Linked DNA regions of Xenopus tropicalis. The protein of the gene in region 3 purifies or fractionates together with the protein of the main gene of each other region. This does not show direct contact. Links are inferred from orthologs where the notes say so. Each region holds a gene or a part of one and is shown on either strand. Other genes may lie near its edges.

Region 1 (4,214 bases), on a different chromosome or scaffold from region 3:
CAAACCAATTTGTCAGTAAAACACAGACTAAACACAGACATATACAGATGTGGGGAACTGGTAGGATGATGTAGCTGTGAGTAAAACCTGTCAAAAAGGCTGTGTTTCTGCAGAAACCTAAGGAAATAAAAGTCCCAATGAATTCAATAGGCTTTAAATCCACAGTGGCAAATGTCTACATTATTTCAGTGTATGCACTTATAGATTTACACAATGAATTTGTGTTATTACTTGTATCAAGACCTTCATACAATGAATACAATGTTGAAATAGCAAAGTGGACCAGCTTAACTTGAATGGGAAAGGGAAGTTAGAAATGACATCTTCGTTGTTATTTGATTATTTGACCTGGGGCCAAATGATCAAATTAGCATGACATCGCCCACCTTAGGTGCGCATATCAGGAAATGATCCACTTATTTGCCAATCAAGCAAACCTTATGTATCGAATCTTATGTATGTCCATCTTTATAGTTAGTTAAACCACTAACAGTTTCTTTAAAACAAAGATTGTTTGATACGATAAATTGCTTTCTATTTTATTTTATTTGCTTTAGGGTGAACACACAAGGAGCTACTTTTTCATGGCTAGTAAACTCCAGAAAATACTCTGCCATAGACAATACTGGGAACTGCCTCTGCTAAAACAAGGAGAGACAATTATCAGTAAACAATCAGCATGATCTACTTTAGTAGCCAGACAAGTAGCTGCTACTAGTAGCTCTGTGTCTCTTCACCCTTAAGAGCTGTGGCACACGGGGAGATCAGTCACCCGCAACAAATCTCCTGTGTCGTGGGCGACTAATTGCCTTGAGAGGAAACTTTCGTGATTTTGGGGAATTCGCGGCACCGCGCATGCCATCCCAACAAGATGAGATTTACATTCTTGCCGGTGGGATAGCATTTTAGGGAAAGTTGTTGCGGGCGACTAATCTCCCTGTGTGCCACAGCCCTAAGGATACACTCCCCTTATTTCTCTCTCTGTTTGCCTGTACCAGCTCAGTAAACCAGGTTGTAAAAGCTCTGTAAACTGCTACAACTTGCTACAATAGTTGTAGAATGGGAATATACCAGCCAATGAAACAGCTAAAGTTAAAAACAGATACACGAGACATGGTGATACATGAGAGAGAGAGAGTTTAAAAGGCTGGCAACAAGTTACTCTTGAGCAACATGTGAGGATAGAAAATTAAACTTTAAAATGGCCCTTGACTCAAAAACTGTTTTTGTATAATGAAAGAAAGTATAATTGGCTTTGACAGAAATATACGTAAAAAACGTTACACTATTTGTAAATGTAACTGCTATTAAAAACATTATAATAGTTTACATTCTCTGTACTACTGGCTCAGACTGCTAAAAGAATGTAGTAGAAGCAGCTGATGAGAACTGGATCCTGCTACACTGTTTAAGAACTGGAGGAGACAAATACTGCTTTTAATTACAATAATATTGACACCATTTTACCTTTAGAACAAAGGCGAATTTGAGCACTGTCACACTAACCACCCCCCCATCTTACCTCCTTTTTCACTGTCATAGTGTGATGCATCAAATTGAGCGTCATCATTAGGAAGCTGCACACTAGCAATCACCAGATGATTCTGTTCATCAGAAGTGTGTGTCCCAAGGACGAGTCTGTGGATACTGAAATCTTTTCCATCGGGTCTGTCAAGTCAAAAATAGATGCAACAAGAAAGCTAAGATTATCTTTGAATGGCATTACAATTCTCTTATAATACATGAGAACAGAAGTTCTCATTTTCCTTCCAGAATTTGGTTAAGCACCCATAACTTGTATGAAGGCTACAGCGAAAAAGCCTGTGCCGCCAGTTTTCATTTTTAGGTTATACCACCATTGATAAACCTTCCATATACAGAAATGTCTACAATTCAGTCCCTCAGCTGTTTTGTTATCCTGGCAATATATTCTAGTACCAGTTTGAAAATAGCTGATTTCTCCATTTTTCTTTTAATTAATTGAAACATACAGACTTTGAAATGAACTCTAAAAGCTGTGAAGCAGAAGTTGGACTAAACTATTCAGCATCTACTGCTGGGGCTGAAATTCCAAACACTGGCACTGGTTATTATCAGTTATCTACACAGAGACAACTTTTTTTTACAATTGAAAATAAATGCAAGATCCACACTAATGTTCCACAGCACTAAGAAACCCGAAATGAGTACAGCTTTCCAGTCCCCATAACTGCAGATAGTTAAAGCTATATTTTCCATACAGTATAAGATTTAGTAATAAGTTAAAAAAAGAAGTGTTACTATGGGAATCACCTTGTGACATCTGGGAGCCACTGGGCAGTCAGGCTAGGCCATTCCAAGGCATGGGTCATCACCAGATCATACAGGAAAGGGGTGTTCTTTTTCCATATCTTATACTCTTCGTTTATAACTCGTTCCTCCACCGCATCATCAAACGCAGCTGCGCACATAAAAACACTCGAGTCAGAATGCACTTTAAGAAAGGTGGCATTTGCCTCTCACAAGTATACCGGGTAGACGCGAAGTAAAGGACCCACATCTCAATGCCCTCAAGATTCCCGCGTACCTCAATCACTAGTACCAAAAGGATGTCCCTTACTCTCGGCTCATACTTACCCTCTTTATCAGCCATAGTAAATCCAGGAGCAGAGACTTTACCGCTTGCGAGACTCAACTTGCTCTTAGAGTCCTCAACTTAGCTCACGTTTCCCCGGTTTTTCCCCTGACTCCTCCCCTCAGTGCCCGGGCCTGTTCCTCCCGCTATTGTTTCCCGCCTCCCCCGTGTCTCGGAGCCGCACACCTTCGCGCCAACAAGACCCAATAGGAACCGTAGCAGAAACGGCATAGATCACCAATCAAGACACTTTACGTCATCAATGGGTGTCTACCAAGTGCGCGCCAGTCAAGAGTGCATGGGACGTCACGTGGTGCCAGTCGGTAGGGACCGTATTCACGGAAGTGAAGTAACAGCCGGTAAGGCAGTGATGCTGTAGGCGTCATGTGATCAAGGAAGGTTTCCTTGTGTTGGTATTAACGAGCACATACTGTCCCAACGATTTAATGTTATGATTTCTGCCATAAGCTACCGAAAGAAAAAGGAGTGTCCAACTTGCCCTGATAGCACCTTCACACGGGCACCACACTGCCATCTCTAGTTACGGAAGTGAAACAAAATGGACCCTTCTACAATTGCTTCAGCCGGGAACACGTGACAGGCTGGTGGAACCCAGTCTCCCGGAAGACGCTTAGGCTAATAGGCTTGAGGCTGCGCACCTGAGAAGATGGACGAACGCTATTATACAATAAGTGAAGAGCAGGTTGCTGTCAAGGCAAAGTACCCACCCGTAAACAAGAACTACGAATGTAAGAGTTATATTACAGTGCTAATGCAACTGCTAGTGGAGTTTGAATGAGCCGTTTGTAGTCGTGTATCTCGCCACTGAAGTTTCCTAACTTTAAGTTCAGGAGCGCTTGACTGATATTTGTCGGAACATTAAGTGAACATGGATATTGGGATAACTTTACTTTTATTACCAGTTTCTATCTGTCGTACACCGTTGTCATGTTACCACATATTGGTGGCTTAAATGGGCAACACATGTAGGTTTGCCACCCTAGGTGGGGGTTAAGCCCGAACAAAGGAGATTGGGCAGCTGGCATTGGGGGTCGGCACAATTACATCAGAGGTGGGCACAATGATGTCTGTGGGGTTTTGAGCCTGGGGCAGGGTTATTGTATAACTTATGCAATTGGCTGGAATTCTGTCCGGTTCAAAGTCACACAGGTGGCAACCCTATCTCTATCTATATTCTGCCTGATGAGTAAAGCTTTGGCAGCTTATCAACCCATGCATGGGCACTAACAACGACTGCGCCTATACCCATAGCTCTAATTTGATCGCTTGGCCCCTGGGCCAAACGATCAAATTAGCCCGATATCGCCCACTCGTAATTAGATATGGAATCTGCTATACAGAAATTAGTTATCCAGAAGGCTCTTTAATACAAGAATGCAAATTTTTAAAAAATACTGATTGAGTGGTTTGCTTTTTTTTGTTTCTGTAATAATAAAAAAATAGCTGCACTTGTTAATATCTAAGCCATGTTGAGGTAAGTATCTTAAAGGACATGTCAACCCCAAAAATAATGTTTTGCCTTATAAAAGAAAACATAATTCTAAGTAACTTTCCAATATCTATTTATTAAAAATGATTA
Region 2 (4,080 bases), on a different chromosome or scaffold from region 3:
AGATAGATGATAGATAGATAGATAGATAGATAATAGATAGATGATAGATAGATGATAGATAGATAGTAGCAAGCTATCAAGACTTAAGGAAAAATGAGAAACAGATGAAAATAGACAGACATATGGAACAGGGGGCATTGCTTGCCTGAAACCCCCATGCTCAGTTCACACATCACAAACCGCTCCCCCCCCCCCCCCATCTCTCAGTCCACTCAAGCTCTTGCTGCTCATTCCTACCAATCAATCCACCTCTGATTGTGCCCCACCACCCCAATTGCACCCAAGGCACGTGCCTCTGCTGCCTACCCCTATCTCTGGACCTGCAATAAATGACAGATAATATCAGATAATGCAGGCATATCGGGCAGCTGCCCAGGGCCCACGTCTCGAGAAGAGCCAAGATTGTCTAGATTATCTAGATTGTAAGCTCTACGGGGCAGGGACCTTTGACTCTTAACTTATTGCAACTGTATCTTTTATTTATTGTTATACTTTGTATTTATCTCTTATTATCTTAATAACCCCCTGTTTGTATTAATGTATTCTACTGTACAGCGCTGGGTACATAAGTAGCGCTTTATAAAGATATACATACATACAAGGGACAAAGGTACTTCTGCACTATTCAGCCATGAAGCTTGGGGGGGGGTAGGAAGCCTCAGCTAATAGCAAAGGTGGCCATACATGCTAAGATTTTTCCCTCCCTAACGACCAATTTCACATTTAGCGATTTTTCATCCAACATTGGTCAGAAAATCCATTGGGCAGGTTTGAAAGCAATAAAATTTGTCCATTGTCCAATTGTATGCAGGGAAATTGTCATTTTCAAACCTGCCCAACTAAATCTGGGCAAGCCTTCTTATTGCAGCATGATGAGGACAATGTATGGGATAAATATACTGATATTGCGGTCTTTGAAAGGAATAAAAAGGGCCCCAACATGACATTTTCATCTGCCCCATCAACTAAGATGCATCTCTCCCTTCACACATCACTTCATAGAATGGCCCCTCCGCCATACCATTCACATAACATACCCAGCACAGCAAGAAGCAACTATATATGTTGCCTCTGCTTTATAGTGCTTCGGGTAAAACTTTATTGACTTCACAAAAACATAACAGAGTTCTGTTTTAAACTCGTTTATCCGGTATTTTAGCCGTCGCTACCTTTCCTCCTAACCACTCCCCCTCTGGTGTGCGTAATGGTTTGTCCCGAGTGCATATAAAGGGCTGCAAGTTCCCCGCCTTAGCACAGTGCGCAGCGGAGGTGATATATCGTGGTTACTAGGCGGTACTTGGAGAACATCAGTGATACCGCAACATGGCCACCAACGGTAAGGAATTACTTGACGTTCGCCCTTTGTACTCGGCTGCTAGTTTTGATATTTTTGTTTCGCGCTAGTTGGGGGCTGTGTATGTATAGTCGGGCATAGTGTATAGGCTTTAATATTTGTTATATGTCTTAGGGTGCGAAGCAAAGTAGTACTCAGGATTAAGATACGAGATCTGCTCGTTCTTTGGCGCCATTTTGCCTTATGTGTATTTTTCGTTGTTTCTATGTATCCGGTATCGCGGATATGTTACTATGCGTGCATCTTGTAGGCTTTCCCCGTTGTATCGGTCCCGCCGCTTCTTGGCTCCTCCCACCATTGTGCTGAATGCGCAGCTGGCAGCCATTTTGTAGCCGCACTGCGCTGCTTTCGCCATTTTGTATCCGGGCGGGCTGGGCGTGTGGGGCACTAATGCGTGGCATTCTGTCCGGATAAACCTTCCCAGAAAACGAGTGTTTTGTGTAGTAACGTTATAAGAAAAAAATCTTGCCTCTGGAAACCATTATCCGTGGTTTAGGGGGAGGGAATCAGTATATTGGTCAATTGCCCACAGGGCAGAACATGAATAAGTCTCTGTAGGGCTGGTAAATGGCTGCAACACTGCTGCCTGGGGGATCTTTAAGCAGATTTAACTAGTAAAGTAAATTCTTGGCTGAGACATAGGGTAAGAAGCGGGTAGATATATATATGTGTGTGTGTATGTGTCTACATATATATATATATATGTGTGTGTGTGTGTGTGTATGTGTCTACATATATATATATATATAGTATACAGGGAGGAGCACACCCTATACAAGTCCAAATGCCCTTGGTGCAGGTCAAAAAACAAAAATATAATAGAAAGAGTGCCGCACACATAGGGACTTGATACAAAAGAAAAAGTGGTTTTATTGAAAAAATGCCAACTTTTCGAGCACAATCTGTGCTCTTCCTCAGTTGGTTTGTCCCTGAGGAAGAGCACAGATTGTGCTCGAAACGTTGTAATTTTTTCAATAAAACCACTTTTTCTTTTGTATCAAGTCCCTTATATATTATATCCCTTATATATTATATATATATATATATATATATAATATATATGTGTGTGTGTGTGTGTATATAGATAGATATATAGAACAAAATAAAGCACACCCTTAAAGAATTCAAATGCCCAAGGTGCTGGTGCCTGCACACACAGGGACTTTACAAAAAATCACAAATTTATTAGAACAAAAAAAGTCCAACGTTTCGAGCACCTACTGTGCTCTTCCTCAGGGACAAACCACCTATATATACACATATATATATATATATATATATATATATATAATATATATATATATATATATATACCGCACTCGCAGGACTTGGTGAAAAAATAAGATACCTTTATTGTGAAACCACGTCAATCTAACGTTTCGGCCGGATCCTCAGCCTTTCTCAAAGTATATATATATATAACAGTGGGCCGCACACACAGGGACTTTGCTGAAAAAATAATAAATTTATTTAAGAAAAGAAATCCAACGAAACCTGGGTGCTAGTACCAAAAAAATGCACTGGAACAAGGCCGGCACTCCTAATATTTAAAGAATTGTGAGCAGTGTAAATATTGAAAGGTTATTACTCAACGTTTCGGTCTCACACAAACCTTCATCTTCATCTGGAGAAAGCTTCAACCTTCACTCCAGATGAAGGTTTGTGTGAGGCCGAAACGTTGAGTGATAAACCTTTCTATATCTAAATTTTGCTCACAATTCTTTAAATCCTAAGAGTGCTGCCCTTGTTCCAGTGTGTATATAATATATATTTTACCCCGCCCCCCCACCCAGGCTTCTTGTATAGGAAACTATGGACCTCAGTGACCTTGTTGTAGTTCCAAGGCCATTAAAGGGACAATAGAGACTTGTGCCCTGTAATTCCATGCACTGGTCTTGATTTAAGAAAAGATCCTGTTTTAATTTAGTGTTGGGTGTGGAAGGAAAGTTTTCCTCACAGGGATTCACTATTTTTTTGGACTATGGCCTGATAAGACTATAAACTGGCCATACATGGGTAGACTTAAGCTGGCCATATATGCACCAACAATATCGTACAAAACCTCGTTTCGTACAATATTCGGTTTGTGTGTATGGCGGCTCGACGAGGCACCCGATATTGCAAAAGGCTGCGGATATCTGTCGACTTGTTGATCGGCCAGGTTAAAAGATTTGTCCGATATGGAGGTAGAAACAATAGAAATTCTACCCCCTTCTGCCCTGAACTGATTTTGCTTTTGTACCTTCAACGGTACCCAAGCAAAATCTAAGTTCAGGGCAGAAGGGGGTAGAATTTCTATTGTTTCTACCTCCATATCGGACAATTCAGCCCTGAACGTCTGTGGACGATCTTTGGTGCGACCGATGGCATTGATGTGCCCCTGTCTGGCCTTAATTATCCAAATAAGGGCCAGAATATCACAATGTAGTTTTGTATGATATTTGGCCTGTGTGTGGTAAGTTTTGTACGATTTTCAGGCTGTGTGGGCTCTACATTATCACCACAATCATTTTTGTACCATGGTGTTCGGTTGTTTAGTCGATCGGACAGGATAAAACATTTTGGTTGGATAAGGATAAAATCTGTGCATGTATTGTGTATGTGCCGATATCCTTGGGGGGCCTACAATGGGAGTCACTTTCATACGGTTGGTGTCTGCCAACTATTTCATGCCCAGAACGCCCTCTGATATATTTTTAGGATTTTATCCTATAATTTCAATCTGC
Region 3 (3,764 bases):
TACAATATAAATTCTAAATCTGCCTCAAAATATGAATTCATATGAATACAGAACACAAATCAAAACACTTCTTTGCATTACCTATCAAGAAGCCTGCACAACATATGTGGAAAAACATCAGAAAAGATTGTATGGCTGCAATAAGGCAGCCAAGCAAATTCAAATGCTGCAGAAGTACTAGGACTTTGCTGGATCCCTAAACAGACATCTAAATTGTTAATATACAGACACCTGTAAGATATTGCTAGCATCCTGCCTTTTTGTGGGGTTTTTTAATTGCACAAATTGTTCTGGGTTTAAAATTACTCTATTTTATTGCCCATATTTTGTTATATTTAAATGTAGTGCTTTCTGTATGTAGTTTTTACCGGAAAAAAACTATGGTGCATGGATGCATTTAATATACACATCTTAAGGAAGAAGGCCACAGCCTATTAAGAAATCAGGACCCAAGTAAAGAGAGCAGATGGCAAAGCACCAGTCCAGAAAAGGGAACAAAAGGTAACATGGCTCCCTCCCCCATGTAAGTGCAAGTCTTACCCACCCCCAACTCTTAAAATTCAGCCTGCCCCTCCCCGGCACACTCCAAGCAGCATTGCCTTGCATATGACAGGTTTAGGACACAATGAAGCTTTCACACAACAGTAAAAACTGCTCCACTGTACCTATTTATCTCTAGCAAGTTAGGACATTAAAATGGGAAAGTCTTCCCAAATAAATGGAGAAACATCCCATCAACTCAGTAGGAACAACATCCCATTACCCTAGAATAATCCTCTCACTACAGTCAGAACAGCTCTGACCTGAAACATGGCTACATACTGCCTAGGTTTATAGAAACCATAGTAATTACATAGATGTCCCTCTCAGACTTCTGGTCAAATAGTATCTTAGTTCACAAAGAAAAGTCTCTGTAGTCACAGTGGAATCCTGCATGATACAAATATGTTGCAGCCAGAAGGGCAAGCGTCAAGTCAGTTGCCAAAGTAGTGTTTTTGGAGCTGCCTGGTGTAGTGTATAGGATACCGTGTCCCCATGCTACCATACACGTGGCATGTAGGCTACACTACTAAGCCTCATAGTCCAGTCAAAAACATTGTAGTTAAGCTGCTACAGCCAGATGCCACCAGCACCTAAATCACACACCATTGTACACTTATTTGTTATTGTGCACAAGTGCATATTGTAATGCAAAATTTAAATCAAGCCATTAATACTAATAGATTACTATTAGTATTAGTGGATACTACTACTAATACTTAAAGATTCCAAAATGGTGTGGCACTCATCAAGACTAACAGTCTTACCAAAAGCTCTGCTCATCGACAATAGGCCAAACGAGCAATCAGACTGTTGGCCTAGGGCCAACAACACATCCCTTGTGCAGGCACCACTAGAGAGAGGCCCACATAATTTAGGCCTTCTACAACAGATCTTCCACACTTGTCCAACCTGGTGATCCCTGGCATGATATGAGCTAATAAGCTGTGGGCACTTTCAGATTAACTCAATTGGGAGGCCAAATGAGCTGATCTCAGGCAACCCAGAAAATGGATCAATCTGATCATTTGCCAGTGGACCAACCATTGAGATGTAGTGGGCCTATGAAGACCTATCAGACAAAGACCGCACCAACAAATCAGCATTAACATGCCCAATAACTATCTTGACAATGCTATGTCAATATCAATCAGAAAGGACTCCTAAGGGCCACATACAAAAGCCATTGAGATGCCAACTTGGTTTGGAAGAGCAAGTTTTGGAAAAATTCCACATTTTTATTGGCCTGTGTGTGGCCACCATGAGCATGGAATGCTTAGCCAAACTCATGTACTATTCCCTAAACTACTATCTGGCACTTTCTTAGCCAGATTTCTACCATATTCCTCCACCTACTGCAAACAACTCAGTCACACAGTTTTTCAATGGTGCACTGCAAACTGCAGGCTCATGCTAAAATCATGCTAAAATGTGTCAGCAATTCATAGCATGGAGTGTGTATTTACAAAAACTACATTTCTCTAATTGATGCAAGTTGTTTGTACTAACAAATCAAATCAGTAATATCACTTATCTGATGTTACCCTTAGGGAAGAATACAAATTATGCCCCAATATAAGCAAGTCTGTTTATAGCTCTGTATCACCGTAAGAAACCACAACATTTGAACTTATGGAAGAAAGTGATCAAGAATCTCTACAAGTATATAACACAAGATATTAATAATATATAAATAATAATATATAAATAACATCTCAAGCTGTTCAAACAAAAAGAGGTAAGAATGATTTACGCAGCACTAAGAAATGGCAAAACTGTATTATCTTTAAATGGATATTTGTATTCAGCTGGGTGGTATCATTTTTTCTGTATATGTATGATGAATAATTTGCCTGAACCAAAATGTAAAAACTTTGAAACACTGAGAGGTAGAATATGTGGATGTAACAAACTTAAACACTATATAACACTATTTTTAACAATGTTTTACATTTGCTAATCTTTTTATCTTTTCACTGAACTATAAAGCACTCTCCCAAACCCTGATGGAAATGTATCAAACTACTACTGCCAAAATTGCTGTCTTTCAAGTTTCACTTTAAAAAGTCGACCAACACATTCATAAAATAAGGCCAGTGTTTTATAAACTGCTACAGATCTTACTATCCACATTATCAGTGACCAAGAACTTAAAGCACATTTAAAAGGTATAATGAACAGTAACTGAAAAGTCAGTTATAACAGGTGCATATATAAACGTCATCCCTTTTAAAATTTTCTTGCATAATGAATATGAAATTATAAACAACTTTTAGATATACATTTAAACACAATTAAAAGGTTTTAAATGTATTTGTGACCGTATTTGCAAATAGCCATGCTTACAGCAAAAATTGTTTTTTATTTATTTATTTTTTTTTTTTTGCACAATGAAAAAAATTCAAATAAAAAAAAAAACACTTATGTCTCCTACAAAGAATGACAAATTTTTGACAGGGCACATACACCCTGGCAACAAAAGCAATTTTAAATACAGCAGATAAGTTAGTTTTGTGGAGTTCTCTTACTTTTGTCATTACCTGTCCTACATGTTAATAAATATAGGAAATACCCATTTTCTTATATATTCATTAAGATGAAAAGAAAATATCCCCAAAAAAGGTCTCTCACCTTGTTCATGGCTGTTGGCTGTGGACCTCTCATACCAGGCTGTCCTCCAATTTGAGGTCCACCTTGAAGTGTTTCGGCAAGAATGTTGCCTGTATTGCCCATGTTAGGGTTGGGGTACTGCATGTTAGGACGACCTCTACCAGATCCAACAGACCCATTCATCATTTGACCCTGAATCATACTTTGTCCATTTCCAGCTGTCATCATTCCTGCGTTGATGCCCATGCCATGCTGGTTTACAGGGCTATTCACACCAGGTATCATTCCTGCTGCTGACGTGGGATTTATCTGCTGAGCTGTTGGTCCAGTGTTTCCACTGCCTCCCATACCCATGTTTGGCGATGTAAGTCCTCCTTGGTTCATGGGACTTTTGACCATGCTGTTCAGTAGGTTTATTCCTGGGCTGTTTTGTGATGTTTGTTGCCCAAGGCCCATGCTCATGTTTGAGGTGGTTCCACCACGCAAGAGCTCAGAAAGCTGCTTATGCTTGGCAGCTGCATCAGGCACCATATTCATGCTGTTGTGTAGCTGACTGAGATCTCCACCATTAGTCAGACCAAACTCACTTGAGTTAATCAACTCATCCGGTAAAT

The links. The genes of interacting proteins can lie anywhere in the genome.
Region 1: the proteins of ep300 (region 3) and rbbp4 purify together in Homo sapiens (affinity purification with mass spectrometry; 4 studies listed by BioGRID, with this or other methods). This does not show direct contact. The link is inferred for Xenopus tropicalis from reciprocal best matches to the Homo sapiens genes EP300 and RBBP4.
Region 2: the proteins of ep300 (region 3) and fus purify together in Homo sapiens (affinity purification with mass spectrometry; 4 studies listed by BioGRID and IntAct, with this or other methods). This does not show direct contact. The link is inferred for Xenopus tropicalis from reciprocal best matches to the Homo sapiens genes EP300 and FUS.

What each region holds. Positions count from the first base shown.
Region 1 is NC_030678.2:90,312,103-90,316,316, forward strand, and holds the start of rbbp4 (histone-binding protein RBBP4), read right to left. Parts: upstream 2,801-4,214; 5' UTR 2,633-2,800; coding exon 2,617-2,632; intron 2,441-2,616; coding exon 2,293-2,440; intron 1,669-2,292; coding exon 1,523-1,668; intron 1-1,522. Other genes in the region: zbtb8os (protein archease), read left to right, coding at 2,877-2,973. UniProt on the Homo sapiens protein: Core histone-binding subunit that may target chromatin assembly factors, chromatin remodeling factors and histone deacetylases to their histone substrates in a manner that is regulated by nucleosomal DNA.
Region 2 is NC_030685.2:6,034,297-6,038,376, reverse strand, and holds the start of fus (RNA-binding protein FUS), read left to right. Parts: upstream 1-1,280; 5' UTR 1,281-1,323; coding exon 1,324-1,336; intron 1,337-4,080. UniProt on the Homo sapiens protein: DNA/RNA-binding protein that plays a role in various cellular processes such as transcription regulation, RNA splicing, RNA transport, DNA repair and damage response. Binds to ssRNA containing the consensus sequence 5'-AGGUAA-3'.
Region 3 is NC_030680.2:115,931,425-115,935,188, forward strand, and holds part of ep300 (histone acetyltransferase p300), read right to left. Parts: coding exon 3,172-3,764; intron 1-3,171. UniProt on the Homo sapiens protein: Functions as a histone acetyltransferase and regulates transcription via chromatin remodeling. Acetylates all four core histones in nucleosomes. Histone acetylation gives an epigenetic tag for transcriptional activation.